Linked DNA regions of Arabidopsis thaliana. The protein of the gene in region 4 interacts with the protein of the main gene of each other region in a pairwise test. Each region holds a gene or a part of one and is shown on either strand. Other genes may lie near its edges.

Region 1 (8,558 bases), on a different chromosome or scaffold from region 4:
AAACCAAAACCGTACCTATGCTTAAACGAGGAAAGTTTCGACGACCATCCAAATGCCCCATTACACTCTTCACTCTGTAACAGATATAAAAGGTGACATCAGTTAATATATCATAGAACACATTTAGATGTTCAAGAGGTATATTCATACCCGTTGTGATAGCCTTGACCTCCTTTCGGTTGAAGTCTCAAAACCCCATTTGGTAAAGCCATCTCATCGTAAATCTAGTAGAGAGAAACAAAAGTGTTCATATGGAACATAGTTCTGGATTCAAGGGATGCTTAAGTCAGTGACTTTACCATTAAAATGTGGCGCAATGGTACTCGATAGTGTGAAGCTAGAGATCCAACCTTTAAAACGACAACAGAACAGTTTCAGGTATGATGATTATTTGATCACGCAGCTGATCTTTGCAAAGTTATGAACAGAAAATACAAACCGATTCGCCGCTGAAGTTCATATAAGTCTGAGGTTTAGCCAACAAGATAGGTACATCTTCAATAGCACCTGTACTGATTCATACATAGAACCAAAAAGTCATCAGTTTTATTATTCTTCAAACCAAAGAACCAAAGCAAGAGAAGTAGAACCTATTCCGATTAGAGCTTTGGACTGTATAGTGTTCATCAACACCCCTTCTTTTCTAGCCAACACATCGATCATCTCGAAACCAACCTGAAAACAACACAAAGTTGTAGCATTGCCAAGATCAAATCCAGCAATTAAGTAAAAGAAAAAGATTGTGTATCATTACATTGTGTCTTGTTCCATGATACTTGTTTCCTGGATTGCCCAACCCAACGATAAGCCAAGGAGTGTACTCTACTTTGAATCTATCATCCTCACCACCAGAAGTAGATGAACAAACCCGAAACCTCTGTTTCCGGAAAACTGGCTTTTGCGTTTGAAAATGGTAAACACTTGGTGTATACGTTGGGCACAACATGGAACTGTTGTTGATTCAAAGACCTATTGAAATTGAAATGACTAGAAACTTTGAGATTCAATACTTGGAATATACATAAAGATAAAAGCTTTTCAGGATATAATGAAATTCGAAATCATATAACAACTGAGAATCAAAACTTAATGAAACCCATTAACAGAGATACAGCGCAGATAAAAAATAATTGAAGTGTAATCGAACAGAGGACTCAGCAAAATTTCTGGAGAATCAGAGATTAGCAATGAGCTACAAGGATTACACAAAAATGTATTTGTGGTTTATATTATGTTATAAATTTTCAGTAGAAGAAGGATAAGTGAGAAGGAAAATAGCTTACCTCTTCTTCTTCAGGATTTTTCGAAACAATTTCGGAATTTTCTTTTGCGAAGACGTTGGAACGAGATAGAAGTAGAACGATGAAATACTGAGACGAAGATGTTAGAAATTGGTCCCGTTTTGTATTAATGGGCTTACTAATATTAGCCCACAAAAATGATGGGTTAAATAATAGTGGCCCAAGTTACTATGATTTTTATACGTCACCGTTACTATGCTCAATGGCGGCACGTGAGTACTATTGAATAACACGTGCGGCTATATACGTCATCCAAAATCTAATCCAGAAAATCCAACGTTGCCAAATCGCCAATCCTGCGGCTCTTACGTAACTCTTTTACTTCTTTTTTTCTTACCCTTTTATCGACTAATTTATGTCGAATAATAATTGTAAATAATTTTCTCAATTTATAAACTCAAAAAAATTTCCTAATTAGTCCCGCCACTTAGTTCGATTTAGTTGATACTGGTTGATTTATTCAAATTTCCTAGCAAATATTACAAAATTACCAATCCAAAATTGAAAGTTGCATCACATGCATTAAATTTCATGATTTCTTTAAAATAAGAAATGAAAATACTCTATTTTCCGTATGGTTTTGGATAAATATGAATTATTACACAAAAATCCAAAACTAATAAGGAAACAAAATTGCATTATTTATTTTTTGGTGCGTTTTAATTTTTTTTTTTAAACGACAATAAGCTCCACAGTGAGTTCTTCTCAGCAATCACAATCTATCTGGTTTAAGCCCTCACTATCCTCTCTCTCAAATCGCGGAGTCTCCGAAGTTTCTCTGGTAATTTTCAAATCTGAAGTTTTGCTTTGGATATCACGATTTTTGTTAATCAGCCGCGATCGAGAAGAGCGTTTTTACTCTCTCGTTCGCATCAATGCAACATATTTCCCAATTTCGTGATGTTGCGTCTTCATCGTTCCTTACTTCTCTCTTTTTGAGTTCTGTTTGGTATAAATGCGATCCTTTTTTTTCCTTCCTTGCCTAATATTTCTCGTTTCCTTGCAATTACGGTTATAAAAAGTCAGACAAAATGCAGTCGTCAACGTATGCGGTTAAAGGAAACGCTGCGTTTGCGTTTCAGAGACGGACCTTCTCTTCTGACAGATCGACGACTTCTACCGGAATTCGCTTCGCTGGTTATAAGAGCTTAGCCACCACCGGGCCACTCTACTGTTCTGGTTCTGAAGCCATGGGAGCGACGCTTGCTCGTGCTGATAACGGGATCCAGAGCGTTATGAGTTTCTCTTCTGTCAAAGCTCGATCGGTCAGAGCTCAAGCCTCATCTGGTTCGTCTCTTCTAATGCTCTTCTATCTTTGTCTATCATTAGATTCTGTGATTGCTTACAAGTTCTTAAATACAATTTGAAGAATCTAATGTATAGTTTGGGATTTGGACTAATCATCTGATGGTTTGAGGAATGAAATGTAGATGGAGATGAAGAAGAAGCTATACCTCTGAGATCTGAAGGGAAAAGCTCTGGAACAGTTTTGCCTTTTGTTGGTGTTGCTTGTCTTGGTGCTATACTCTTTGGTTATCATCTCGGGTATGACTAAATACTACACTGTTTTTATCTTGGTGTGATCATGGATGATGATGTTCTATTGGACTGAATCAGGGTGGTTAATGGTGCTCTTGAATATCTTGCTAAGGATCTTGGGATCGCCGAAAATACTGTTTTGCAAGGCAAGTATATGATGATCCACTTCTTTACTCCTCCTGTCAACGGTAAAATGATTCGTGTTTTGATTAGTAGCCAAACTCATAATTGGTATTCTCTATGATTGGTGTTGAGCAGGATGGATTGTTAGTTCTCTGCTTGCTGGTGCTACGGTAGGTTCATTCACTGGAGGTGCATTAGCTGACAAATTTGGACGAACAAGAACTTTTCAATTGGATGCTATCCCGCTTGCCATTGGAGCTTTCTTATGGTAAATTTTCAAGCACTAAGCCATACCTATTGGTGAGACGTTAATTGATTTCTTAACGCATTGGTTCTTTTTTTATTGATTAGTGCAACAGCTCAGAGTGTGCAGACTATGATTGTGGGACGTCTGCTCGCTGGAATTGGAATTGGAATCTCATCAGCGATTGTACCACTTTACATATCTGAGGTTGTTTAAATACTGATTTTCATTATTTTTGCACTTTTAGCATAAGATGTTAGATTTGTTTATATGTTATGTCTCTGAAGCGTTTGATGATGGTTGTCAGATATCACCAACTGAAATCCGTGGAGCACTCGGATCTGTGAACCAGTTGTTCATCTGTATAGGAATACTTGCAGCCTTGATAGCTGGATTACCCCTTGCAGCAAACCCTCTATGGTATGTAACATCCCTTTTTTATTCATCATCTTTTATTTTGGGTTGCATACTGTGATAAGTTTTGATATCGTGGTCTTCTAGGTGGAGGACGATGTTTGGTGTTGCAGTTATCCCTTCCGTTCTATTGGCCATAGGAATGGCTTTTTCTCCAGAAAGCCCAAGGTGGCTCGTTCAGGTACTCTCAAGGAACAGATCTCAACACTTAAAATGAGATCAATTTTTGACAAGTCAAGGAAATCAATTTTGCAGCAAGGAAAAGTCTCTGAAGCTGAAAAGGCGATCAAAACTTTGTATGGTAAAGAAAGAGTGGTTGAACTAGTTCGCGACTTATCAGCCTCTGGCCAAGGTTCTTCTGAGCCGGAGGCAGGATGGTTTGATCTATTCAGCAGCCGCTACTGGAAAGGTATAGCAAGACTTGGTGGAGATACATTGTTTAGTTTGTAATAAAAGCTGACGGATTCCTTTCAAAGGTCATATCGGATTGATCAATTTACATAGTTTCTTGTCTGTTCTTGTTGTAGTTGTAAGCGTAGGTGCGGCTCTCTTCTTGTTTCAACAGTTAGCCGGGATAAACGCAGTTGTGTATTACTCCACATCGGTATTCCGTAGTGCGGGAATCCAATCAGATGTTGCAGCCAGTGCTCTCGTTGGAGCATCAAATGTCTTTGGTTCGTTTCCCCGTTATGTTCTCATTAAATTCCAAAAATAACCAAAAAAATAACACGATAAAAATCTGGTCGCAGGCACTGCTGTTGCTTCATCGTTGATGGATAAAATGGGAAGGAAAAGTCTTTTACTGACAAGCTTTGGTGGAATGGTACATGTTTTTATTAAAATTCTTAGCCATATTCGAAAATCTCAACCCTCATTAGTATTACCACAACAGGACTAACTTGGATTTTATGGTTTTGTATTGAAAAGGCTTTGTCAATGCTGTTACTCTCCTTGTCCTTCACATGGAAGGCTCTTGCTGCCTATTCTGGAACCCTTGCCGTTGTTGGAACTGTTCTGTAAGTCAATCTCCTCTTAACACTTCCTTATAGTCTCTCTGTATAGGACTTGACTGACTCTTATGCTCGGTTGTTTAAATCAGATATGTCCTGTCATTCTCACTTGGTGCTGGCCCGGTACCGGCTCTTCTTCTTCCAGAGATATTTGCATCCCGAATCAGAGCAAAAGCCGTCGCTCTTTCTCTCGGCATGCACTGGGTATATACATATATCTATAGGTTTTATGGGTTCAGAACAGAGTTTCTTCTCTCTGTTTCTAATGTTTTGTTTCTCTTTTGCCCTAACAGATATCAAACTTTGTGATCGGACTATACTTCTTAAGCGTTGTGACTAAATTCGGAATCAGCAGTGTCTACTTGGGTTTTGCTGGAGTCTGCGTCCTTGCGGTCCTCTACATTGCAGGAAACGTCGTCGAGACTAAAGGTCGATCACTGGAGGAAATAGAGCTTGCTCTTACATCTGGAGCTTGAAATTAAACAAAAGAAATCAGCAGAACAAAAACCAGTTTGTTTCATCATTTAGTTTGTGAGTCTTTCTCTAATCTGCTACTCTTAAATTGTACAATGGACGACGTTATCAATAACGAGAAATCTTTTCATGACCACTACATGTTGGCTTTCCTTTCCCACCTCTCCCTGGTATCTAGCCTGTTTCAAAACAAAAAAAGCATGGCATTAGCACGGTTTTCTCAATATGAAAAAGAATTCTAAAATTAGCGAAATAAGCTCACCCCCAAAACAGTTTTTGTGGCTTCTTCGGTACTGTGACTACTGTCTTGTTATGATTCTGTTCTTCTAAGGTAGAAGAAGAAGAAGAAGTTGGTTCTTTCAACTTTTTAGAGCTTTCGCCATCTTCGATCGCTTTACTCTGAGAATTCTTGCTCGCTGCATTTCAGTGTAGAGCTTTTAGTCTAGTGAATATGAACTGAGAATTCTCAAAAAAAGAGAGCTAAATATATATATACCTTTAGGTTTCTTCTTATGAATCTTTGCATTAGCTTTTATTTGCATACGTCTCTTGTGTAGCTCCTGTAATCTCAACACAACCAAAATGGCTTCAAATTCAAATTGCTATGTACATAGTAATTCGGTTGAAAGAAAAAAAAAAAAAACTGGATTGAACAGTTGATAGAAATTCGAATCAAGATGATTATACGAAGTCGTGCTTACAATCTCATTGGGATATCTGAAGATCAGAAACATTAAAAGTCGAGGCAAAGAATCTGACCTGTAATTTGGAAATTTGTTTCTGGGTGAGGTTGGATCGATTAAAATTGGGTTGAAGAGATAGTGTTGAAGCTAATAGAGCTTCTTTTCGATTCTCCTCTGCTTCTCTGTCAATTTCCTCGTTTGTCCTCGTCGTCGCCATGGCTTCTCCGTCGGCAACTTTGAGAATGTTAAGAAACCGACGTCGGAAACTTTCCTTTCCTTTTTGTTGGGGGATTAAATACCGAAATTACCCTAAAATATTATGCTAGTTTAACTAACTACCCGAATGTTTTGAACTAATACATAATTGACCTAACACTTTCTCTAATTATCAATTACACCCAATTGTTTTGGAATTTTTGGCGTTAGTGAGTTACTATATTAATGAGAAATCTTAATTAATGTATCATAGATCGTGCCGAAAATAAATGGTCTATGTCTAACAGCTTTGAGTACAAGTAAAACTCTCAAGCTTGGTCTTTAATTACTTTTGTGCCTTGACTAAGCAATGTAATTAGACCTTACGACCTTTAAAAATCCACTAATCTAGCATGCCGATCACGACCGCAACGCTTACTCTCTGTATTAATGATTTTTGTAATCAAAACTTCATATTTGACTATTTAGCAACAAAAAGAAGGTTCTGGCAATGTGTCGTCAAGTGCACCTAAAGTTAGGCATGAAATATTGTTCCTTCCATGGTTTGTGGGTCAGCACCGAACATTTCGCACTCTCTTCCATCTCAGTACTGCAACATTTTGAATAATTAACTCGTCCAGGTTATTTATGAAGAATTCCTTAACTTTGGAGTAATCAGGTTAGTTTTTTTATTTGATATTATTTTGGTTTGAGTTATTTAATTTGCTATTGTATTGGTTCGGTTTAAGTTAGACTTTCAAAAAGAAAAATTAGACAAAATTGAACCCACGCACACAGATAAACAATTCAATAGATCATTCAAGTATAGGTTTGAAATACAGAACTGCTCGGTTATATCCACCTCTCACCAAGGTGTTCAATGTGATTCGGTTAAATTAAGATTAGATTCAAATATTCATATTTTCAACAGCAACAGAAAAAAAAACATATTTTGACAACATGCCACCCTTAGCTTATTTTGACAACATATCATCACCCTTACTTGAAATTGCAATCTCTTACTACACTCCGTCCTATGGGCAAGATAAAATTTCGTCAAATCGTGTAAATGTTAAGATCTAAAACCTAAGTTTTGTATCTAACACATGATCGTTATATACATATATTGACCTGAGAACAACTAAAAGTCAACAGGTCACGTCTTCGTTCCAAAGTCTACTCTTTTAATATACATTTATATAACTTGCAAGAGAGCTCCTTTTGACGTTGTCCAATACACTCCAAAAACCTTGTTTTTTCTTATACAACTTGTAATAACACATTTATAACAACTGGTTGCAAAATCCTTAACGATCACAACAACCTCTCTCTCTCTTTTTCTCTCTCTCCCTCTCCCTCTCTATCTCTACAATGAGCATTAGTGATCATAAGAGCAAGAAAGAAGAAGAACAGTACCCAATGATCACAAAGCCCTTGAGATTGATTCTCTTACAAAAGGGAAGTTATGTCTTAAGCTCACTCTTTTTTGTATTCGGTTTCTCGGTTGGTCTCTTCCTTTGTCTGCAACTAAAAGCCGTACACATGTCTACGACGACGACACAACGACAACCCTTATGGTCTACCTTATTATTCAACCACACGGTCCACACCACAGAGATGGATATCAAACAAGAGTTGCAACTACAAGTACTTCAACACAACATGAGTGATCAAGAACTCTTCACCAAGGCCTCGTCATTATCATCACCAACATCATCCTTATCGTCATCATCATGGTTAGGGAGGAGACATAATAATGATGGGAAGATGGCTGTGAAGGTGGCTTTCATGTTCATGACAGGTGGAAGACTCCCATTGGCTGGCTTGTGGGAAAAGTTCTTTGAAGGACATGAAGGGTTTTATTCCATATATGTTCATACTAATCCATCTTTTCAAGATTCTTTCCCCGAAACTTCCGTCTTCTATTCAAGAAGAATCCCAAGTCAGGTGATAATAACAGCTTTAGTTTGTTAATTATATCTTTCTCTTTTCTTAAATAAACCTATTTAGGTACCCCTATATATGATCAGTATACTACTAATCAGAAATTATATCACTAGTTTTCCAAAAACACATCACTATACTTTTCCAAACATATCTCTTCGATTTGACAGGTTGGTTTTTTCACATGGCACGTGCATTGATCTTGATTCGACAATTGCATAATGGTCCATTAAGGCATGAACCCATTTGATATTATTCTACCATAAATACATTTCTTTAATCATGTTAATAATATTCAAAGATAGACTATTCTCAACTTTTGTAAGAACAAATGAACAATACATAGAACAGTTTCAAAATGCATCTCAATATAAAATTTCTAGATGTTATATAAACTGAAAAAGGGCGTAGGAATGCTTTTTATGTTTATTAAGTTTCTAGATATTCTAACTAATTTTCAAGTTAAAAGCGACAACAAATCTAAATTCAATAAATCTAACAAATTTAAAAGGCTTAAATTTGTATAAACAATTTTTTAAAGATTATTTTAACAATAATATTGATGTTGATTTGTGAAACTTTTTGTCAATCAGCCGGTGTATTGGGGAACATCATCAATGGTAGACGCAGA
Region 2 (7,454 bases), on a different chromosome or scaffold from region 4:
ATGGTGGAATGATCCAAACAGGCCGTGATTATTTCTCTCAGATGAAGTCTAGATTCAACCTAAACCCTCAATTGAAACATTACTCTATAATGGTAGATCTGCTAGGGAGAGCCGGGCTATTAGAAGAAGCAGACAGGCTCATGGAAAGTATGCCAATGGAGGCAGATGCTGCGGTTTGGGGAGCATTATTATTCGGTTGCAGGATGCACGGTAATGTTGAGCTGGGAGAGAAAGCGGCTAAGAAACTTCTCGAACTTGATCCCAGTGATAGCGGGATCTATGTGTTGTTGGATGGCATGTATGGAGAGGCTAATATGTGGGAAGATGCAAAGAGAGCGAGGAGGATGATGAACGAGAGAGGTGTAGAGAAGATTCCTGGTTGTAGTTCCATTGAGGTTAATGGAATTGTCTGTGAGTTCATCGTTAGGGATAAATCGAGACCGGAATCTGAGAAAATTTATGATCGCTTACATTGTCTTGGAAGGCATATGAGGAGCTCGTTGAGTGTACTATTTTCGGAATATGAGATTACTAATAACTAATGGGACTGAATGAAACTGCTGAGTTTTGTATTAAGGCATCTTTGGTCTAAACTAGTATAGAAATGGGTTTGAGGGCAAAAAAAAACTCAAATGACATCTCCTGTGTATTAATTGGCCAGTTTAATAAAAACATAGTAACATTAAGAGTGTCATTTTACATTTTTCAACATGATTTATACACTGAGTTTTTTTGATTTAACATTAACCTAAAACTAATAAATTATTTATTATTTGTTAAACAGAAACAAATATATACATAATTAAAAAAAATTGTGTGAATATGTCAAAATGATACTCTTTATTAAACGGAAGGAATATTAAAAAACCCATATTTAATGAATTAAAATGTGGGTCAATATTTATTGATATCCTCTCTTCTTTTGGTAAGGATTGGTTTGGTGAACCTCAAATACAATGACCTCCATGTGCGTCCCATTTCCTGATTTCGAATTCTATAAATTTCTTAGGAAACTAGATACCTTCCGAGTCCTATGTATTAATTAATTGTGACCGTTTCTCCGAAGTGTAATAAATTTGCATACGAAAATTGACAACCTCTTTTTTTGGTTCAACCAAAAATTGACAACTAAAGATGGGGACAACATAATCTCTTAAAAACGGCAACGTATCAGTACCTTTTAGAGTTTCAGAACGCAAGGTCATGATGATGACGACTTCCGTAGTGTCAGTCACTTTTCGAGTTTCAGATAATTTCTTGTTTGATTGCTAAAAAATATGAACCAATGGCCTGAAATTGTTGCCTCCCTTTCTCACAACAATTCTCTTATCTCAAGACACCAACTCACTATAATATTTTATCCACTAAAGTGTTGTTATATAACAAAATACAAAAAATCAAAACAAAAATTGACATCTAAATTTTAAGTAAATTATGCATAATTTAGAATTATATTGCTAATCTTTTTATCTTAATTTATTAATTTTATCCTTAAATTATTAGCCGTAGAGTAACTATAGCATTGAGCACTACGACGACACTGATCACATTAAAGTATTAAACAATAAATGAATAAAAGATGCATGCTTTTTTGTAAAAAAAAATATAGTATGAATTATTTGGCCAACCAACGTGAATGTGAAGATAAGGTTTTGTATGCTTTTTACAAAGTCAAAAAGTGCCTTGACCATACGTTAGGTTTAAAATCAAGAGTTGAATAATTCACTCACAAATTCATCGTGACCTTTAAAAGCCTATCAATAAATGTGTGTTAGTTACACTATTTGATTATGAACATTGACCAGGATTAATGTTTGGTTCTAGCTAGATCATTCGCATTTCATAAATAGTACAATTTTTTCATTATTGTTATCAATAGTATTAATTATAGCATTATTTCTTGTATACGTTACATAAACAAAATTCTTGTATAAATATTTAACTAGTTGTTGAATACAATAACAAAAATCTAACTATTCATATTATACAAAAATAATCACTATTAGTATTAATGTATCTTATTAATATGGAGTAGTAATTATTTTTGTATGTTATGAATATATATTTAGATTTTTCTTAAGATGTTTTTAATAGTAATTATTTTTCATAAGATGTTTCTTATTAATGTATTTTTAGGATTTTCACACATCTTAAAAAACATATTAAAAGTTGATTAGAAATATATTATTCTTCTTGAAGTTTACACATCAATAATAACTAGTAATAAATATTGCATAGAAATTTTAAAAATGACTATCTTTTCGAATCAAAAAAATTTCCTACAAAATACAATAATAAACAAAGAGAGTAGTACTGTTCATCTAAATACTGTATAATGGATGTTTTACCAATTTTAACAATTACGTACAAAAGTTTCACACCTTTATAAAAAAAATTTGATCAATTATCCTTTTATCTTCTTTATTTTTGCCAGCTAATATACACTGCAATAATCCAAACTTAACAAACATTTAACATTACTTCAGATTCATCATTCAATAATTTCACAAACCCATAATTTTACCAAATTACTACACTAATCCCCCATTGGCACCAATTCTATAATTAGAAAATTTATTTCTTTATTTATTTATTTATTTATTTCTATTTATTAAAGAAATAAATTATAGAAATTGGAATGCCCACCACCACCAGAGACCACACTTGCACAAATTCCATCTATAAACACAAAAGCCTTTAGTATCATTCTCGAAAACCACCAAAAACCTCTTTATAACCCAACAAACAAAGTCTCTACTTCTTCTTCAATCACTGAAACACAACACCAAAAAAGAAAAAAGTATGTCTCTTCTTCCCCATCTCATCCTCTACCTAACACTTTTGACGGTGGTTGTTACTGGAGAAACTCTCCGACCAAGATTCTACAGCGAGACATGCCCTGAAGCTGAATCCATAGTAAGAAGAGAAATGAAGAAAGCAATGATCAAAGAAGCAAGAAGCGTCGCTTCCGTCATGCGTTTCCAATTTCACGACTGTTTCGTCAATGTAAACACTATAAATCTTTCTCTCTGTTCTTGATCTTTACTCTGTTTTCCTCTCTGAATTTTTCTTTGAATCATCAAATTCAGGGATGTGACGCATCTCTGTTGCTTGACGACACACCAAACATGCTTGGTGAAAAACTATCACTTTCCAACATCGATTCACTAAGATCTTTCGAAGTCGTTGACGACATTAAAGAAGCTCTAGAGAAAGCTTGTCCAGCTACTGTTTCTTGTGCCGATATCGTTATCATGGCCGCTCGTGACGCCGTTGCTCTTGTAAGTCAAAATTCAATTTCCCCGGTTTAGTGAAATCTCGGTTTTGTAATTTTGGTCTTTGAAAAAACCAGACAGGAGGACCAGATTGGGAAGTGAAGCTAGGGAGGAAAGACAGTTTAACAGCGAGTCAGCAAGATTCCGACGATATAATGCCAAGTCCAAGAGCCAACGCAACTTTCTTGATTGATCTCTTCGAAAGATTCAATCTTTCTGTAAAAGACATGGTTGCTTTATCAGGGTCACACTCAATAGGTCAAGGTCGGTGTTTTTCAATCATGTTCAGACTTTATAACCAATCCGGTTCTGGTAAACCGGATCCAGCTCTTGAACCGAGTTACCGTAAGAAGCTTGATAAGCTTTGTCCTTTGGGTGGAGATGAGAATGTGACTGGAGATCTAGATGCAACACCTCAGGTTTTTGATAATCAGTATTTCAAAGACTTGGTTTCAGGGAGAGGGTTTCTTAACTCTGATCAGACTTTGTACACGAATCTAGTGACGAGAGAGTATGTGAAGATGTTTAGTGAGGATCAAGATGAGTTCTTTAGGGCTTTTGCAGAAGGCATGGTGAAGTTGGGTGATTTGCAATCTGGGAGACCTGGTGAGATTAGGTTTAATTGTAGAGTTGTTAATAGAAGGCCTATTGATGTATTGCTTGTATCTTGAATTATCATTAGTAAAGAGAAGAAATCTTAATTATGACTTCTAAATTGATGCAAATCTTTTTAGCTACATGCCATGGATCTTGGTTCTCCAAAACTTTGATTTTGGTTTATGAATACTGGTCACTGCTAAAGCTACAATCTGGTCACACCAGTCTATAAAATAGTAAACATTATCTAATCACTGAAGTTGTTGTCCCAATAAACAAATTATGGACTGGACAAGTAGCAACATTCTAATTCTGAGGTACACACAAAGAAACTTAAATGTAAATATTCCTTGTTTCAAGGTTTCAGAATTTGCACATATACAAAATCTCGAAATAATTAAGGCACATTAAAAACCGCCGGTTCACCCGGTTATAGAGTAATCTGACCGTCCACTTTATCCGGTTTACTTTTAAACCGATTTTGTGGTCTTAGCTCATAAATGTCAAGAGTCCTTTCTTTTCTTCCCCATTGTTGAAAATCAGGTTTACAGATTCAGTGAGAGATCAGATCGCTAAAGGTTTGTGCAATTAGGGTTCTCAGATTCTCTCTTTTGTTTAACTTTGGATTCAAATCGCTAATGGTTTTTGATTTCGTTGTGTAGAAGAAAATGGATTGGCAAGGACAGAAACTGGTGGAGCAGCTGATGCAGATCTTACTGGTGATCTCCGGCGTTGTAGCGGTGGTTGTTGGCTACACAACGGAATCGTTCAGGACGATGATGCTGATCTATGCCGGTGGTGTTGTTCTCACGACTTTGGTTACTGTACCTAATTGGCCTTTCTACAATCTTCATCCTCTCAAATGGTTAGATCCGAGCGAAGCCGAGAAGCATCCCAAACCAGAAGTTGTCAGTGTTGCTTCGAAGAAGAAATTCTCTAAGAAATAGGTCTGATTCTGAATCTCTCTCTCTCTCTCTCTCTCTCTCTCTCTCAGAATTGTTTGTATGAGATATTTGTGGATCGGAATCTTAATTATGAATTGAATATTCTGGGTTGATTCTTATAATTATCTGTTTTTGCCAAAGGAATTTGCTTTTGAATCAATGGCTATGGCTGTAATCTGGCAATTTCACTGAATTGTGTAGATTATCTATCATCAGAGAGTTTTAGATGAAAAAGTCTTATGAATCACAAAAGTCTCAGTTTTTATGAAAATGGTACATAAATATCACACCATCCATTTACACTCTGTGTTAAGCTTGTGTGCAAAAACCAATGCTAGTCTTTGATGCTTTGCTCCTTCTTATTTTCTTGAGTCGAAGTAGAAATAGTTTGTGTGATTCCAAACTGTTCCGCTAGTCGCTGGTCAGAGGATTTGCACGGGTTCATATTCCGGGAGATTCGAGTCATCTGGCGAACGCGAACGCTTAAAGGTAGGTCATAGGCTTATGAAACGAAATGACAGTTGAATCAGCGAACGCGTACAGGTTTGGAATCAGAATTTGAGAGAACCAACATTTGGCAGGATGCTTGTAAATGAGCTGTGGAGAAAAAGGAGTGGTTTAGTTAGGTCAGCATTAGGAAGAAGCAGAGGATATGAAAAGTATACCTTCACCAGAAGGATGAAGCAAATTCACAAACAAAGAGAGAGCTCTCCGGAAGTAGCAATAGCCAAAATCTACATGGTATCGCAAAAAAAATACATCATGTGGATAAACAATAGAGGAAAATTCAGTGATTGTAAGAAACTAGTCAACTCTAGAGACAAAATCAAATACAAGGTATATATGACAAACGTATATCTTGAATGCTCGGCTAGTGTCATTACCAATGTGGTCAAGAAAAGAGGTTTCTGTGTGAATTGGGTAAAAGGTTGTGAACCTGAAAAACCATACAATAAGCATATTACTCTAATACTCCATAAGAGAATAGGACAAGAAAATTTGGGAAACATACGCAAGACATAACAAGTTGACTCCATAATTCTTCATTGGACATTGAGAAGTCTTTTCTGTTTGGTTTTGTCTGTTCATTTGGATCTTATTTGAGCTTCAGCCCATCAATAAATATGAAAGGGCCTGTTTAAAGCCCATCAAATAATTGTTTTACGATACCACATTTTTGTGTCCAACATTCAACACAATAAAGGTTTTGTGATTTCTCACACACAATTAATATAAAAAAAAAGTTTACAAGACTGATATATTCATGAGATAATAGACACGTTTACTAGATCCGTGTTTAACGTAGATCTTCTGTTGTCCTCTGTGTTATTCACTCATTAAGTAACTTTGTTGCATTCACTGAGACTGTGAGACATTGACCATCGAAGCATTTTTGGGGATTGACGAATATATCTATATGCTTATCCTAACTTCGATGAGATTATACATTATAGTAGTTTATACGTAAATCTAAGCATAAGTATTGATATAACAATTAAGAAAACGATAATCAATCAAGATACATAAATTTACAGAATCTGACCTAAGATACCAGTGAAAAGTGAAAACATAAAAAAATTCAATTTTGTAATTGTTTTATATGTTTATACTTTTTTCCGCAAGATAGTAAACAAAATTTGTAAGTTCTTTTTATTTTTTAAAATGCATATAAAAAAGAGGTGGAAAAGTCAAAGAAATCAACGGATAGAAAAGAGAGATATTGGCGTGGCGTGTGGGAAGCGGGAAGTGTTGATGGAGACAGCAAAGGGAAGTAGCATTCTCAAGCACGAGACATCGCCGCTCTCAGACAAATCCTCACCGGAGCGACAGCGACTCTTCTTCTTTCTTCTTTCTTCTTTTCTCTATAATGTATAGTACTTGTTAAAATACTGAATTTGCGGTGGAATTATACAACTAAATTGATAAAAATATATTGGATGTTAAAGTAAAAAAAAAAAAGTAGAAAGAATTTAATCACGTCTAACTCTTAGTAAATCTCTACATATAAAGTAAACTGGTTGTGTGCATATGTAAAGACACATGCATATGATAAAGTTTTTATCTTTTTTCTTAGCCAGCAATAAAGTTTTCTTTTTGGCCAAAAATGTTTTTTTTATTAAAAGGCCGAATTTTTTGACTTTGAATATCTGCAAACAAAAAAAGAGATAGGTCCCATTAATTGCTGACTCGTTCTATTCCCTCTGGACCACTTGCAATAACCGACACGTGCCATATACTTCGAGACAAGACAAATTATACTATACTTAGCTAATCTTTTAAGCCGATACGAGCCGTATAAGCTGTCTCCTTCAATGGGTCTTACTAATCGTATTCAATTTTTTTTAACACTTACCTAAACTTTGTGATTAATCATTTTTTTTTGTATTTTAACTTAGATTGAGTTGTATATTAAATAACAAGAAACTAAAAAAATAAATTCGATGAAAATTGACTGTGAATTAAGCAATTTAGAGAATATTTGCAACTAAGTCTAAATTTCCCAAATTAGAATTTTGAAAGTTTTCAGAGTTAAAAGTCTTGAAAGAGACCATTGGTACGATCACATCTCAAATTTTCTAATTTGATAAATTAATGTGACTGCAAAGCTGTATATCTTTATCTTTGAATAAAATATACA
Region 3 (7,559 bases), on a different chromosome or scaffold from region 4:
CAGACATAATTTCTAGCTTGTATGACACACTGGTAAGTACCTGTTTACCCATCTGTGGAGAAATCACAGCATAAATCTTTGATTCCTCGACAGTTTTATACAATCTTGTCCTGTCTCCTCCAGTTGTTCCCATTACGAACGGAACTCCTACTTTGCCATACAGCTCTGCATTATCTACATTTTGCAAAACAACACACATTGGAAAGATTCTAAAGATGTGGTGTTGTCACATTCACATAAATCAGGATCATTTATAATAGTGAAAAAAATCAAATTTCAACACACATCTAATCATAATGATGTCATTAAATGAAATTTCTTCAGATTACAGGAATAGGAGTTGCTAGACTTACCATTTACTGCAGAGGGAATTGTGTAGTCCACAACAATTAGTTCAGGATACTTCTCAAACACTGAAGACAGCACCTTTTCTCTTTCAGTAGGACCATGCACAAGAATCTCCTTTCCACAGACCTCAACAGTCTGGCCAGCCTCTTCAACAGACCCAAATGATGTAGGAACAATATTCACTCCAGCAGAATCTGCCGCTTTGATGACAGCTTTCCCCATTTTACCACTGCATCCATTCACCTAAAGTATAAAGATTAAAAAGAGTGAACGAATGGCTTATAACTTGATCCTACAATTACACTCTAGCAAAGATCTATGTAACTTACCCTAAAATATTTCTGTTGCTAGAAAAAAAAAAAAAGGCAACAGCTTTCCATCTATAAATTTCCGGGAAAATCACAATCATCAATGGAAATGCTAAATGTCACAACTCAAGAGTGTTAGGGAAGTAATCAGATACCATGATCGATATGCCGTTACCAGGCGCAACGGAATTTCCAGCTTCCTCGAAAGTCTCCGACTTTCCCATTGACAATACCACCGGAAAACAGCGTTTCACATTGCCGATGAAACTAACACGGCCTTTGAAGCCGAGTGGAACCATTTGATTCGTTCTAGAAGAGAACGAGAAATGGGGATGTACAGGACGGTGGAGAAACACACTAGATGCCGCCATTAGCCTGTGATCAAATCCCAGACAAGAACAACAACAAAAATGACAACTTTAAAGATCAATTCATCAAACCAATGTCGGAAGAGAGTGAATCCAGTTTAGAAACTGTACCCATTCGCCGCCATTTTCGGTTTCCACTTGGTCCGAGATTGCTGTCGAGCAACGAAATTAGAATTTATGTTCAAACCTTGTCTGAAAAATTCGAACCGGCGAACGGTAGGGTTTTAGACATTTTCCCTTTACGTCAGATCCAAAGCTTCTGGTTAAGGTTGGGGTGTTTCAACCAAAACCGGAAAGGTTACTAAAATTGAAAACCGGAATTTCTCTTCATTTTAATGGTCAAACCGGAATTTCTATTTAATTAATTTATCAAACCGGAGTTTCTCTACTTTTTCCTTAATTAATGGTCAGAGTCCGGATTTCACTTTAATTAAGAGGTCATGAATCATCTTTTGTTTTTTTGACAACGAAAATGTACGGAAACATTGTTTTTGTTGGAGCTAGCTAAAAATATAAAATTGAATATGAACCATAAATTTGGTATATTAGGATCAATGCAATGAACCCAATGACCGACCTCAGGTAAGCAGCAGATACATTGTTTTTTTCTCGTCATTCGTTTAATTTCCCTTTCAATCTGTGATTTTTAATTAATTAAAGCTTGATAAAATGAAAAGGTTTAACCCATAAAAGTAAGTATACCTATTCTTGTCTTTGTCACTAAGACATACAAACTTATGATACTCTGAACCTAATCATACTCCTAAATTTTGGAAACCAAATTATGAACACTTTTCAATTAACTTGTTTCATGATAACATCACTCACGAAAACGACCATTAATCCTATTAGACCAACCACAATAAGAGATGCTTGTCGGGGAAAGAATTTCAAATAATTTGGGTTAAATTTCCACAATAACAAAATAATTTGTATCAAAGGGGATTAAAAAAAACAAAAAAAAAAACAACAAACAAAATAATTTGTAATCTTTTTTTTTAAGCAAACAAAAAAGGGGATTAAAGAGTCGTACGAGGAATATTAATTAGGCAAGTTGGTTTGGTCGAGACTCGAGAGATCATGCATTGAATCAAAGGCAAAGAGCCACGTGACGTTTACATGTGGTTCGATCCTCAGTGTCTCATCGATCGCCTTTCTCCTTACAAATCAACCAAATTATACTGTAGTAATCTTTTTCTCAAATTATACTGTAGTAATCTTTTTCTCAAATTATACTTAGTATAATAATGGAATAATATTTCACAAGATAATAATCGAATAATATTATCAAATCTAAAAAAGCTGACCAAAACAAAAATCTTTAAAATTCGCGAACGTTATGAAACTGAGCATATGGACCTTGTTATTGAGATTATTGTAATGCATCAAGTGTCTAAGAATTAGACCAAAACATATGTCTATGCATATTGACTGTCGAAAATCAATTAAATTAGAAGTAGGGTATATAAAACAAGAAGAAGCAATATTTAAACATGACTGACTTATTAGTAAGACAGAGGGAATAATATTATGATAATACTTTTTTTTCTTGAACTTTTTGATACAGGTCCACTGGACACCAATCTAAATGTGTGCGGTGTTCAAGGCAATAATCATGCATGGGTTGCCATATATACACACCTACATCTTAACTTTCCACCATTATTTACTCATCTAGTCTTCAATAAACAAATTCCATTACTAATTAAAAACGTACAAATAGAGATGTTTAATCGTAATACTGTATATCTATCCAAGAACAAACACACAAGTGAACTGAATTTTAAACTGATTAATTCTTTTGTTTCCAAAGAACTTAAAAGGAAGTACTTTTATTTAAATAAAAAATAAATCTTAAACCGCACCAAATAAGTTTTGGTTACTAGTGTATACATTCAGTGAACATTTTTATGAACCCATATTTTAGTAAAAGTATTCTCTTGATTGTAGAGACAAACACTAAACACAAATAAATTGATTTTTTTAGTTGAGCTTATGCTGAGAAGATCCATTTGACAATTTTCTTTCCTTTTTTTGGTCAACGATTCAAGGAGATCCATTTTCTCATCCCTAAATATACGATTTTCGTATCTGTAGAGTAGGAGTAGAAACTAGCGGATCTTTCGATATAAACATTCTAAATTATTAATTTAGGGTTTGTCATCCATGCAAAAAACTTTGTTGGTACACGTCAAATAGTTTAATATCTGAAGCTGCAGTCTTCGTATATTGTTAATTTGGCCTAATTAAAGTAATGCTGCACAATTAATGTGGATAACTAGTGTTGTAGTATTGGTAATCTATCAATTCTCCCAAACTACTCATCGGCTTTTTTGTATCTAAAGGCCAGGAAAAAAACTAATAAAACCACTTGACGTTGTTTCTAAAGGAAATGGCCTATATGTTTCTCAATTCATTGAACCATGAATTATATTTATGGGATTAACTATATTTATATATTAAAAGTAACAAGTGATTTCCGACTGAGTTACTAGCGAAGTCTATTTGCTTTAATTCATCATTCTGTGAGAATTCATCCTCTGGCGATATAAACATCTTGGCTTTATTAAAAACCATCCTCTCATCAAGACTTCACATGCAAAGCGTGTTGTCACGTTACTATGTCCGATCTCCATATACACGTAAATATATAAAAATAGCATCGTGAATTAATTTGAAAAACATTCCTAGCTATTTAACTTGGCTTTATATATAGAAATATGAGAGCATATACATATATTGGCCCAACATTTCCTGGTAGAACAAGCGCATTCACCATATGAAGTGCTTCGAGAAGAACAACACTATGGGTCCTTATTTATCCATAAACATCGACAAAATTATTGGTAGGTACGTTAATAAAAATAATTTCCTCATCGCATCAAATATTTGATTATAAAATTTTAAAAATCAACCTGTATATTAATAACTGGATGATTCAAAATAAACTAGAAAATTATTTTCTTAAAAATTTATAGAATGGTAAAAAGATGGTTTTAAAACTCATTTATTTAAATACTACTTACATATTCAGATCAGAGGAGATTGTAGCTTACGTCATATGTTATATAAGTAAAAGAAATGGTAGAAAAAGTAAGAGAAAAGAAGACCAGGGGAGAAGAACCTTGTGATTGTGGAGGAAGACTAGGCCACACGAAATTCAAATCTTTCAAATTCAGCAACTTGCTTCTCCTCACATTTGTCAGCCCCTTTATATAATAAACGTTCCTCTTTTTCGTCTTTTCAACATATCAGAAAATCCCTAAATTCACTGAACCCTCTTCTCTCTCTTTCTCCCCCCATATCTTCTGATTCTCCTCCAACTCCTTTATTAATAAATTCTCCTCTTTCATTGCTACTTGTCTTCCTCATTTCCCTACTAGTACTTGTTTCACACAGTTTCTTGATCCAACCAAAACCAATACACAAAGCTTCTCAAACTCCTTCACCTCAAAGCTTCTTCCTTTACATCTGAATCGTTGAGTTAACTCGGATTTGTTCTGCATCCTCTGTTTCTGAATCGTGGGCCATCCTTATTTTGTCTCGAATTCTTCACCAATTGCTTCGATCAAGCTGCATTGGTTAACCAGTTGCCCTAAAGATCAGATCTTTGAGCAAAATTTTGTCACTGATCTTCTAAATCCAAACCAGACACAGCAAAACAACCTCTGTAGATGATTCGAGAAATCTCAAACTTACAAAAAGATATTATAAACATTCAAGACAGTTATTCGAACAACCGAGTCATGGACGTCGGAAGAAACAACCGGAAAAACATGAGCTTTCGAAGTTCGCCGGAGAAAAGCAAGCAAGAGTTACGGCGGAGTTTCTCGGCGCAGAAAAGGATGATGATCCCGGCGAATTATTTCAGTTTAGAGTCTCTGTTCCTATTGGTTGGTCTAACGGCATCTCTGTTAATACTTCCGTTAGTTTTGCCGCCGTTACCTCCGCCTCCGTTTATGCTGCTATTGGTTCCCATTGGGATTATGGTTTTACTCGTCGTTCTTGCCTTCATGCCTTCTTCTCATTCTAATGCTAATACAGATGTAACTTGCAATTTCATGTAAATCTGAAATTTATTATATGATGATCTTAATTAATCTTAGGGTTCTTAATCCAATGAAATTGATATACAATATAAATGTAAGTTATAAATATTACATTAAATTATCATAATATATATATGTGAGAATACTTCAACGCACAATAAGAGAAATGGAGGAGAAGAGACTGACATAATATAGAAGCATCATAAGAAGAAATTATACAAAAAAAAAAAAAAAACCTCACTTCGTCATCTCAAACCCAAATCCCAATATCCGTTAATTTAAATCGTAGTATTTATTTGCTTATTTTCAACTATTCGTAGAAATTAGAAAACCAGTGAAGCCCAAAAGCAGAATCCATTTGTTTCAATCGAAAATGGCGGTAAGGTGATGCTCCAAAACCGCCATAAGGTTACGAGTCTGGCTTACTTCCACAACTGCAACAGCACAGCCTTGAAGCTGTCTCACTGCTTCTACAAGCTGTCCTCTTAGCCTCTGAGACAGTAACCGACCGTCCGCTTTCATGCACTCTCTGTACAGCGGCATGTACGCTATTGCTACTCTTAGCGGTGCAGGAAGGTCTCTTAAGGATATCGCTGACTCCCCTTTTTTCAAAACTCTCATGAAATTCATGAAATCGTCATGGCTTTCTCTCATTCCTTTCTCAAAAGCTGACTCCGACCAGTGTTCTTGGAGAAACGATTTTAGATCTGAAGGAACGGATTCGTCTTCTGATGACCTTGCGATGCTGTCTGCCACTGAGTATGTAGCCGTGGAATCTCCTAAGAAGTCTGATTTGAGAAGAAACTCTACTCCTTGGAGAGACCCTCCGCTTCTTTCTCCTGCTGCTTTGAGGATTTCGATGCTGAGAGCGGTTAAGACAGGTGGTGGAACACGAGGGAGGAGATAAGCAGCTACCTCGACTTGGCAACTTGAAGTGGCCGCTGTTAGAGCCAAGCAAAGCTCCATGTCACGGCAACCTCTTTTCACAAACCATTGAACAACTTGCATGCAACCTCTCTCTGCTGCTCTCATTAAGGGACCCAAGAAGGCAATGGCATTACCTTCTTCCACTAGGCACTTCATTGTTCCGATTTTACAATAATGCGAGGCAAAACCAAGAGCTAAGTCCACATCAACATCTAAGCTGTTCCTTTGGGCAATCTGCTCCAGGAAATACAATATTTGAGCACGAAAAGAGACCTTCTATAAGTCTAGAAGCAATCAAAAGAATGGAAGCTTACCTGCAATAAGACGCGGACAAGTTCTGTACTACCAAAACGTGAAGCTTCAAGGAAACATTGGTTCACATTATCTGCGCCACCTTCAACAAGCATACCGAGCAGTCCCTGTATAACAGTAGCTGACATCCCAGATGCCCAGCCAGGATCAAACGAGTTGGAGAACAGAGTGAGCGGGAAACAAGCTGCATCAAAGGCCTCAGTGAAGTCTCTTCCTGAGAGATGGTTTCCTGCTAGATCTAAGAACATCTTGAAAGCAGAAAGTTGTAGTTCAATTTCAGCAGCCGAATTTTGGCTAACTCTATCCTTTGCCCCCTGGCATCGGGAGTGGAAACCTATACATTTGAGAGCCCATTCAGTGAACTTCTGAACTTTGGCACCAGCCTCTGCTTTTAGAATCTCATCCCCGTTGCACTCTTGGAGACGCTCATGCAACCTATACATCATGTACAAACCAAATATGAACTCACATGTTAAACAAACTGATTTAAAGTTTTCTTAAGCGGAATTGTTTTGTCTATGACATTTAGTAACATCAGCGCCCACAAATACTAGCAGTGTCATTTGATTATCCTGACAACCAATTACATACAGATATAACCAAACACTATAACCAGTAAGGAAAAATTTGTGCAGCTACAAATATACCTAAGGTTCCCGTGAGTGAAGCAAAATAAAAAGAAACAGGGAAAAATAGAAACAGCCAACCAGTCTAAGCACCCCAAATCTGCTTTAGAATTATACTTAAAGAGAAATTAAAAGATTGCATGATTACCTTTGAGCCATAACAGTTACTGTATCAGAAAGACTCATTGTCCGGCTCTGGCAAGCAGAGACACAAGAAGCGAGAAACGAAGTCCTAAGAGTAGCTCTAGTAAAGTCATGAGCACCATGACATATGATCTTCTTAATCAATCCGGTGATCCCCTGAAACTCAGGCTTTGTACTCAAGAACCAAACTGAATCTAGACCAACACACAACAAATCATTTAAAGTCTGAGGATCAGCCAACTGAATCAATCTCTCAGCAAGTTCCCAATCCAGTGAGGTAACAGCGCCTTGGAAGAGCCGTCCCAACTCAATTCTTTCTTGCCTATTAAGCTTTTTCTGCTGCTCAATATTTTCCTTCTCAACGAGATCATCATCCCCTTTAAAATTTAGTTTCTTAGCACTACAACCACAGCATTCTCCCGAATTAGTTCCAGCTGAATCCTTTCCTATTAAAGGTGCCTCTCTCGAAAAAACCAC
Region 4 (7,949 bases):
TGATTAACATGCACATCGTACGTTTTAGAGATAAATGAGATATTATCATTAAGTTTTTTTTGGGGATAAACGAGATATTAAATTAATGTCAGAGTTTCAAATTTTGATCTTCTGTTTGTTTACTTTAATGTTTGATCTTCCCAATGTGATCAACATAACTTCTTTTTTTTTTTTTTTCTTTCGAATATGTCTGAATTATTTTCAAAAAGTTTGGTCTTCTATATAAAATAGGGTTTAAAAAATATATTCTAATTTTCTTCTGTATACAAATAGGGTTGGGTTTGATAGTGAATTAGCTTTCTGGCTGGTGATGAACTCGAAGCTACTTTTTCCCAGTTTATCCGTTTGCTTGCCGGATCTAAACAGGAACTTTACTAGGTTTCGTGTTCCATTGAGCAAACAATTTCAAATCTATTTATATATAAGAGAAAAACTTTCTGTTACCCAATCCAATTTCCGCAGTAAAACAGTGGAAACCATCATCATAGTTTACGAATAATTTGTTATGTTTACATTTATGTAATATTAAAAAAAATATTTGTTACCGATATTTTTCTTAACAAGAGAGTAGGTTACTCCCAAATTTCATCACAAAAAGACCTTCAACGCTTGTATCAATTTATGTAAATCCAATCGTATCGTTCTATTCTTTCATTAAAATAAACAAATTTTTAAATTTGAGAAATTTTCAATTGTCGGCGTTTCTTGAATGAGCTTGATCAGTTTCAGTGTATGAGACAATCGGACTAATACTAATCCTTGAAGAAGTTTTGTTGTCGTTCTCACATCACATGGACATGACGACTTATAGCGGACGTTAGGTTTAATTGTTCTGGAGAAGAAACATCAAAATTATGAGGACAACATAGTGCATGTGAAGTATTAACTTTTGTAGATGAATGTAAATGGAAAGTATTCTAGCTAGGGTACTTAAATCTACTAAACTACTTCTCTACAAAATTTTTAGCATTTTAGCTATTTGGATGTAACGTGCATGATGTGACTATCATTGGATGTAGTATTATAGATTAACCTAATCATAATTTTGTAACTTGTTCGATATCATTTTCATATACACATTTGTTTATGAAATGTTTCAAAAGATTTTTTATTTATTTATTTAGAATTTTCTTTTAAAGACCAATTTTTGCCTAGTAACTAGTAAAAAGTAGGTGGACAAAAAAAATACTAAAGAAAAATGGTATTAATTATATCTTTAAAGGCGGTTTGGCAAATTTTGAAAAATGGAAAGAAACAGTTACTTGTTTAATTATTAGAGAAAAATGTGGGAAATTATGTTGGAAATAAAAGGATACAATTGGGTCAAGAAGCATAGTAAAAGTCAATGGTCAATGTATAAAAGACCACATAGAGTTTAAAACATAGGTTTTTGATGCATCCCCCACAAGGCCACAACATCTGTATACCCAATTCGATTATGACTGATATGACATATTATTTATCAAATCCTTTTCCAAAAAGCAAAAAAAAAGGTCTTTACATATAAAACAACGACCTTACGAAAATGTTCGTCCCTTATTTAGTGTTTAAGAAAAGTCTTACATTATATAAACTTTTTTCTTTCTCTTATTCTGACAACAATTTAGCTACTTTGTTTTCTCATCAATATGTGATCCATTCTCCAAGAAAATGTACAAATCTCAATATATAAGTGGCCATAGAGAAAAATTCGTAAGGTAGAAGAACAAAATCAACGAGATCAATCTTTCTTTCACGTTGTTAATTAATTCAGATTTTCTTAGATCTATGAATGTTAATTGTTCTTAAAATACAGATTAGATGATACAGATTCGAGGGTTTCAATGTCATCTAATGCTACGGGAATGAAGAAGCGATCATGTTTTGGATTGTTTAACGTAACTAGTCGTGGAGGAGGAAAGACAAAGAACACATCAAAATCATTTCGAGAAGGTGTTAAAATCGGATCAGAGGGTCTAAAAACGATCGGAAAATCATTCACATCAGGTGTAACAAGAGCTGTTTTCCCTGAAGATCTAAGAGTCTCCGAGAAGAAAATCTTTGATCCTCAAGACAAAACACTTTTATTATGGAACAGAATGTTTGTTATCTCTTGCATTCTTGCTGTCTCTGTTGATCCTCTGTTCTTCTATCTCCCTATTGTCGATAACTCAAAGAACTGCATTGGGATTGACTCTAAATTAGCTGTGACAACTACTACTCTAAGAACGATCATCGATGTTTTTTATCTTACACGAATGGCTCTTCAGTTCCGTACCGCTTACATTGCTCCTTCTTCTCGTGTGTTTGGAAGAGGTGAGCTTGTGATCGACCCTGCAAAGATCGCTGAACGGTATTTGACTCGTTATTTCATTGTCGATTTCCTCGCGGTTCTTCCTTTACCTCAGGTAGTTAATAAAACGCTTCAATCTTTTTTGTTTTGTGCATTGTTTTCAATTGAATAGATGATTCTTGGTGGTGTTGATGCAGATTGCTGTGTGGAAGTTTCTTCACGGATCTAAAGGAACAGATGTATTACCAACAAAACAGGCGCTATTACACATTGTCATCACACAGTACATACCAAGATTCGTTAGGTTTATTCCATTAACTTCAGAGCTCAAGAAAACAGCAGGAGCTTTCGCTGAAGGTGCTTGGGCTGGTGCTGCTTATTACCTCCTCTGGTATATGCTTGCAAGTCACGTAAGCATTTCAAAATTCATCCATCAGCACTAGGTTAAATATCTATTGTTTTTTTTTTTGGTTCTGTTTTTAAGAAATGTTGTTATACTTTGATAGATAACTGGAGCGTTCTGGTACATGTTGTCAGTGGAACGTAACGATACATGCTTGAGATCCGCTTGTAAAGTCCAGCCTGATCCCAAGGTCTGTGTTCAGATTCTTTATTGTGGCAGCAAATTAATGAGCAGTCGCGAAACCGACTGGATCAAATCAGTCCCTGATCTTTTTAAGAACAATTGTTCTGCTAAAAGCGATGAGTCTAAATTCAACTACGGGATCTATAGCCAGGCTGTGTCTTCCGGTATTGTATCTTCGACAACGTTTTTCTCCAAGTTTTGTTATTGTCTATGGTGGGGTCTCCAAAATCTCAGGTACCTTCCTTGGAAAATCGATGAATAGCTGTTAGACTGTGGTGCAATTTTATTGACTTGGGTGTTTTCTTGTATAGCACGTTAGGTCAAGGGCTGCAAACAAGTACATATCCAGGAGAAGTTTTGTTTTCAATTGCAATTGCTGTAGCTGGACTTCTTTTGTTTGCTCTTCTCATTGGGAATATGCAAACTTATCTTCAGTCACTTACGGTTCGCTTAGAGGAAATGAGGATTAAAAGACGTGATTCCGAACAGTGGATGCATCACAGGTCACTTCCACAAAACCTGAGGGAACGAGTCAGACGTTATGATCAATACAAATGGTTGGAAACAAGAGGAGTCGACGAAGAAAACATAGTCCAGAGTTTACCAAAAGATCTTAGAAGAGACATCAAACGCCATCTCTGTCTAAATTTAGTTCGCAGGGTAAGTTTTCAGAAATGTGAATTGCCTAAAGATCCTACACTTCATTCACAAGGAACAATGTTCTTTCTTTTTTTTGCAGGTTCCTCTGTTTGCTAATATGGATGAGAGATTACTAGACGCAATATGTGAGAGACTAAAGCCAAGTCTATACACAGAGAGCACTTACATAGTGCGAGAAGGAGACCCGGTTAACGAAATGCTCTTCATAATCCGAGGCCGGTTAGAGAGTGTAACAACAGATGGTGGAAGAAGCGGTTTCTTTAACAGAGGTTTATTGAAAGAAGGTGACTTTTGTGGTGAAGAGCTTCTGACTTGGGCACTTGACCCTAAAGCAGGCTCAAACTTACCTTCTTCCACACGAACAGTGAAGGCTCTAACTGAAGTAGAGGCTTTCGCTTTAGAAGCGGAAGAGCTCAAGTTTGTGGCTAGTCAGTTCAGGCGTCTTCACAGTCGTCAGGTTCAACAAACTTTCAGGTTTTACTCTCAACAATGGAGGACTTGGGCTGCTTGTTTCATCCAAGCCGCTTGGCGTAGACATTTAAGAAGGAAAATCGCAGAGCTTAGACGTAAAGAAGAAGAAGAAGAAGAAATGGATTATGAAGATGATGAATATTATGATGATAATATGGGTGGTATGGTTACAAGGAGTGATAGTTCTGTTGGATCAAGTTCTACATTACGTTCCACGGTATTTGCATCAAGATTTGCTGCTAACGCGCTTAAGGGTCATAAACTAAGGGTCACCGAGAGTTCAAAGAGTTTAATGAATTTAACAAAGCCATCAGAACCTGACTTTGAGGCTCTTGATACAGATGACTTGAACTAAGTACTTATAGATTGCACACTTCCAAACATTTTCATTGTAAAACATACAAATTTACATCTATAACCAAAGCTGTTACACACTTACACTTACACAAGATAAACACCTAGAATATATGATTAGATATACACACAAAAAATCAAGGGAAATAAAAAAACTTTCTTTAGAGATTCAAGAATCCAAACCTAATAAGCCATACGATTGTCTTTGTGAAGCCTAAAGAAATAAGCTGCAGCGCTTAAGACGGCAGTAACCAAGGCAACACCTTTGAAGGCATCAAACTCATCATCCATGAAATTGAAGAAGATCACCACAAGAACCGACACAATCGGCCACGTAATGACACTGATCACATTCGACAACACGCTCGAAACAGAGTAGACAAGTCCAACAATCCCAACCCAATAGACCTGCCACGAAACAGCTTGACCAACCATAGCCATCACATAAGAACCTTTCCCTTTCGAGAATCCATTCATTTCCCTCTTCAAATCGTGTTGCTCACCGGCTATAAGCAGACCCACGACGGAGATGATCGTAGCAACGAGAGAAGAGAAGATAATAACTTCGAAAACAGAGGCAAAGCTTGGTTTTTGATTGGTTGATTCAGTTCGTTTGAAGATGTAACTGTCGAAGACGTTTTGGATGTTACAGAGAAGAAGAGCGAAACAGATTCCAGCGAACAGAGCAGCCCATGAGCCTCTAGCGTAATTCTCCTCTGCTTCATCAGGCTCACCACCGAATGAAGAAGACAGAGTAAGAGCTCCGGTGATGATAGCTAAGATCACAGAGATAACAACCCATCGATTGAATTTGATTTTGTTAATGAAAGCTGCGAAGATAGGAGTGAAGAAGAGCTGTGCTGTGTAGATCAGAGTGAAAACACCAAATGGGATCTCGAGTTTTCCCATGGCTGCGAGTCTTCCTTGAACGGACATGATAATTCCGATGCAAATGTAGATCACAGCTAAGGATTTTAAGTGGATTGAATCGGAAGTGATCGGAGGTTGTTGATGGTGGTTGCGTTTGTTCTTGGTGATGAAGATGAGGAACGGGAGAAGAAGGAGAGGGAAACCAACAGTTTGGAGAAGAGATTGAGTCCAAACGCCATCGTTTTGACGGTTTTCGTTGTATTCGCTTCGGTTGGTTTTGTCGTAGTAGAAGTTTTCGAGGAGTTTCGCTATGGATTGACCGATGATGACGAAGATGATTGAGATGGTGATGGTTGGCCAGTGGTTTGGTTTCCGGATTGTGTTTCCGGTTTGGTTCATGCGTGTGGTTGAAGAATCACGCTCGATGTTGATAGGTATTTGCACAAATTGTTCTGCAAAAAGAAACAGAGGAAATTAGAATCAAATTGTTTTGTAAGAAGAGGAGATCAAGAAACGAGAGATCTGGTTTGTTGATTCTTATTATTACCTGGAGGTTTGGTCTGGAAAATAGGTTGTTGATTCTGAGCCATGGATTGGAACTGATTGTCGGAGATTCTGAGCGGATTTGAGTTCAATGTATGTCGGCGATTAGATTTGGTAATATGTGATATTTGGAGTGGATGATGTTGTGGGATAAAGGAAAGAGAAGGGTTTATTATATATGGGCACGAAAAGTCTACCCTGGCGGCGTAATGGTCAATCAAGCGAGCCTCATGTCTACGCGTCGTCGTTTTCAACTTGTTCCGGGTTGTTTCGTCATCCAAAAAAGTGTGTAAACAACACTTAGAAGTAACTTATTCTTGTCTTTACAAAATCCAAGCAATAATCGACAAAAGATGATGAGAAATATTTGAGGTTTTGAATCTTGATTGTTTTCTATCAACGAATATTCCGAATTGGATTTATGGTTCGAAGGTTATATAAGGAAATGGTATAGTTAAGTTTAAGTTATATTGACTTTGTTTGTTTTGGGGGTTTGACCTTTGGGATTATCCAACATCCTACGTTTCGGAAATTTTGAACTAACACGATGCCCACTTGGCAGCTCACTACTTGTAATATGATACTCTCTTAAATGCGTGTCTTCTTATGACTTCATCTTAGAATATCATACTTCATGTAAGGATTTTGGTATATGACATTTTATAATGCTCAAGATATAATCCCAAAGGTGCAAGATTAGAATGAACTTGAACTTCGAATCAAATTGTTTGCAATAACTAAACAAATTTTGAACTCAGATTCAATGTTGTTCAACGTAACATTGATCATTTTTCAACCAAATGAGCTTCGAAAGTTTGGATTTTACAAAATAAGAGATTAAGGGTAACAAACAAAGGCAATTTCCTTGGTGCTCATTTGACACATTTTACTTAAGAATCATACAAAATCTCTATGTACACAATTGCCTCGTTTGACTATATAAACGTCCTCACACTGTTTCCACGACGCTATACCCATTATGACCCATAGGCATACATGCTCTCAAATATACACTGGACCCGTAATTAAAATAACATTTTAATACTTAACAAATTAGCATGTCTTGACCAAGAGACTGAAGCAGCCAAAGTTGTCCAGAGCAATAGCTCAAGTAGGCATAACCTATTACTGTGTTAATAGATTCACAAAGGCAAAACAACTATTACTAAACCTTCATGGATTACTCATCTATATAAGTTCTAGACATGTGTTTTGAATTCCCCGGTTCATCATCGGTACAATAGTTTCAGAACTAAAACGCTATGGGGCATTGAATTTGAAACTGTGATCACGCAAACTTCTTAAATAGAACACCCATTAGAACACCCATATGACCCATAGGCATAAAAGCTATCAACTACACTGGACCCATAATTAAAGAACACAGCATATCACCAAATCAACTTGAGGCAGCCTAGCCACAGTTGTCCAGCTTAAGTAGGCATAATCTGTCATGTGTTAATTGAATTCACACAGACAAAGCAACTATTACTAACCTTCATGGATTATACATTTCGGCATATCATCATCTATACCAGTTTTAGACTTTTGTTATAGTTTCAGTACTAAAACGCTATGGGGCAATGAAACTCTGATCAACAAAATTTCTTTAGATAGCATTTCCACAGGCTTTTCAATGAACATGCCACAACTCGAGAAGTGAGGATTTGGTATTAAAAGCCTTAACTTGCATCACTACATTATTCTATGATAATAGAGCCAATAAAGTAAAACCATTCTGTTTGACCAATCCAGTCATATGATCCGATGATCATAGAGGCAACCAATGATTTGGCATTGCAACACCGATTAAGGAAACTTCTTTAGAAATACCTTTCAATGAAAATGCCAACTCAACAAGCATGGATTTAGTACTAAGAACCTTACTTGTATCACTACATTATTCCTTAATCACAAAGGCAATAAAGTAAAACCCAATTCTTAATCAATCCAGCTAAATTTTCCTATGGTCATAGAAACAAAGAAGGATTTGGCATTGAAACTCCAATTAAGCAAAATTTCTTTAGAGAGCATTTCGACAGGCTTTCAATGACAATGCCAACTTGAGACGCAAAGATTTTGTATTAAGAACGATACTTGCATAGTTGCATTATTAGACTATTCTTTGATCATAGAGGCAATCTAGTAAAACCCTTTTCTTGATCAATCCAAATATAACATTCCTATGAAACA

The links.
Region 1: the proteins of PUP14 (region 4) and PGLCT interact in a protein complementation assay, tested with the Arabidopsis thaliana proteins (one large-scale study listed by BioGRID).
Region 2: the proteins of PUP14 (region 4) and AT2G22425 interact in a protein complementation assay, tested with the Arabidopsis thaliana proteins (one large-scale study listed by BioGRID).
Region 3: the proteins of PUP14 (region 4) and ARGOS interact in a protein complementation assay, tested with the Arabidopsis thaliana proteins (one large-scale study listed by BioGRID).

The regions. Positions count from the first base shown.
Region 1 is NC_003076.8:5,270,572-5,279,129, forward strand, and holds PGLCT (plastidic GLC translocator), read left to right. Parts: upstream 1-1,904; 5' UTR 1,905-2,082; exon of another isoform or gene 2,083-2,323; 5' UTR 2,324-2,332; coding exon 2,333-2,588; intron 2,589-2,731; coding exon 2,732-2,846; intron 2,847-2,918; coding exon 2,919-2,986; intron 2,987-3,098; coding exon 3,099-3,231; intron 3,232-3,314; coding exon 3,315-3,414; intron 3,415-3,514; coding exon 3,515-3,627; intron 3,628-3,708; coding exon 3,709-3,802; intron 3,803-3,876; coding exon 3,877-4,030; intron 4,031-4,148; coding exon 4,149-4,295; intron 4,296-4,370; coding exon 4,371-4,444; intron 4,445-4,548; coding exon 4,549-4,637; intron 4,638-4,720; coding exon 4,721-4,835; intron 4,836-4,924; coding exon 4,925-5,107; 3' UTR 5,108-5,241; downstream 5,242-8,558. Other genes in the region: AT5G16140 (Peptidyl-tRNA hydrolase family protein), read right to left, coding at 16-74, 151-224, 300-350, 440-507, 591-675, 755-946; AT5G16160 (uncharacterized protein), read right to left, coding at 5,242-5,284, 5,368-5,521, 5,602-5,665, 5,865-6,005; AT5G16170 (Core-2/I-branching beta-1,6-N-acetylglucosaminyltransferase family protein), read left to right, coding at 7,355-7,930, 8,521-8,558. UniProt on the Arabidopsis thaliana protein: May be involved in the efflux of glucose towards the cytosol.
Region 2 is NC_003071.7:9,510,539-9,517,992, forward strand, and holds AT2G22425 (Microsomal signal peptidase 12 kDa subunit (SPC12)), read left to right. Parts: upstream 1-4,156; 5' UTR 4,157-4,450; intron 4,451-4,534; 5' UTR 4,535-4,540; coding exon 4,541-4,819; 3' UTR 4,820-5,136; downstream 5,137-7,454. Other genes in the region: SLO1 (SLOW GROWTH 1), read left to right, coding at 1-542; AT2G22420 (Peroxidase superfamily protein), read left to right, coding at 2,803-3,006, 3,090-3,281, 3,353-3,946; AT2G22426 (uncharacterized protein), read left to right, coding at 6,479-6,691. UniProt on the Arabidopsis thaliana protein: Component of the signal peptidase complex (SPC) which catalyzes the cleavage of N-terminal signal sequences from nascent proteins as they are translocated into the lumen of the endoplasmic reticulum. Dispensable for SPC enzymatic activity.
Region 3 is NC_003074.8:22,125,343-22,132,901, forward strand, and holds ARGOS (auxin-regulated gene involved in organ size), read left to right. Parts: upstream 1-4,162; 5' UTR 4,163-4,698; coding exon 4,699-5,091; 3' UTR 5,092-5,130; downstream 5,131-7,559. Other genes in the region: AT3G59890 (Dihydrodipicolinate reductase, bacterial/plant), read right to left, coding at 41-174, 354-591, 812-1,031, 1,136-1,149; AT3G59910 (Ankyrin repeat family protein), read right to left, coding at 5,437-6,234, 6,315-6,747, 7,087-7,559. UniProt on the Arabidopsis thaliana protein: Promotes cell proliferation-dependent organ growth. Takes part in the AXR1-dependent auxin signaling pathway that requires ANT during organogenesis.
Region 4 is NC_003070.9:6,830,280-6,838,228, reverse strand, and holds PUP14 (purine permease 14), read right to left. Parts: upstream 5,905-7,949; 5' UTR 5,804-5,904; coding exon 5,761-5,803; intron 5,666-5,760; coding exon 4,527-5,665; 3' UTR 4,392-4,526; downstream 1-4,391. Other genes in the region: CNGC8 (cyclic nucleotide gated channel 8), read left to right, coding at 1,651-1,697, 1,796-2,387, 2,470-2,682, 2,779-3,092, 3,170-3,518, 3,598-4,344. UniProt on the Arabidopsis thaliana protein: Purine permease implicated in ATP-dependent cytokinin translocation that controls the spatiotemporal landscape of cytokinin signaling. Depletes ligands from the apoplast, which leads to a suppression of the cytokinin response.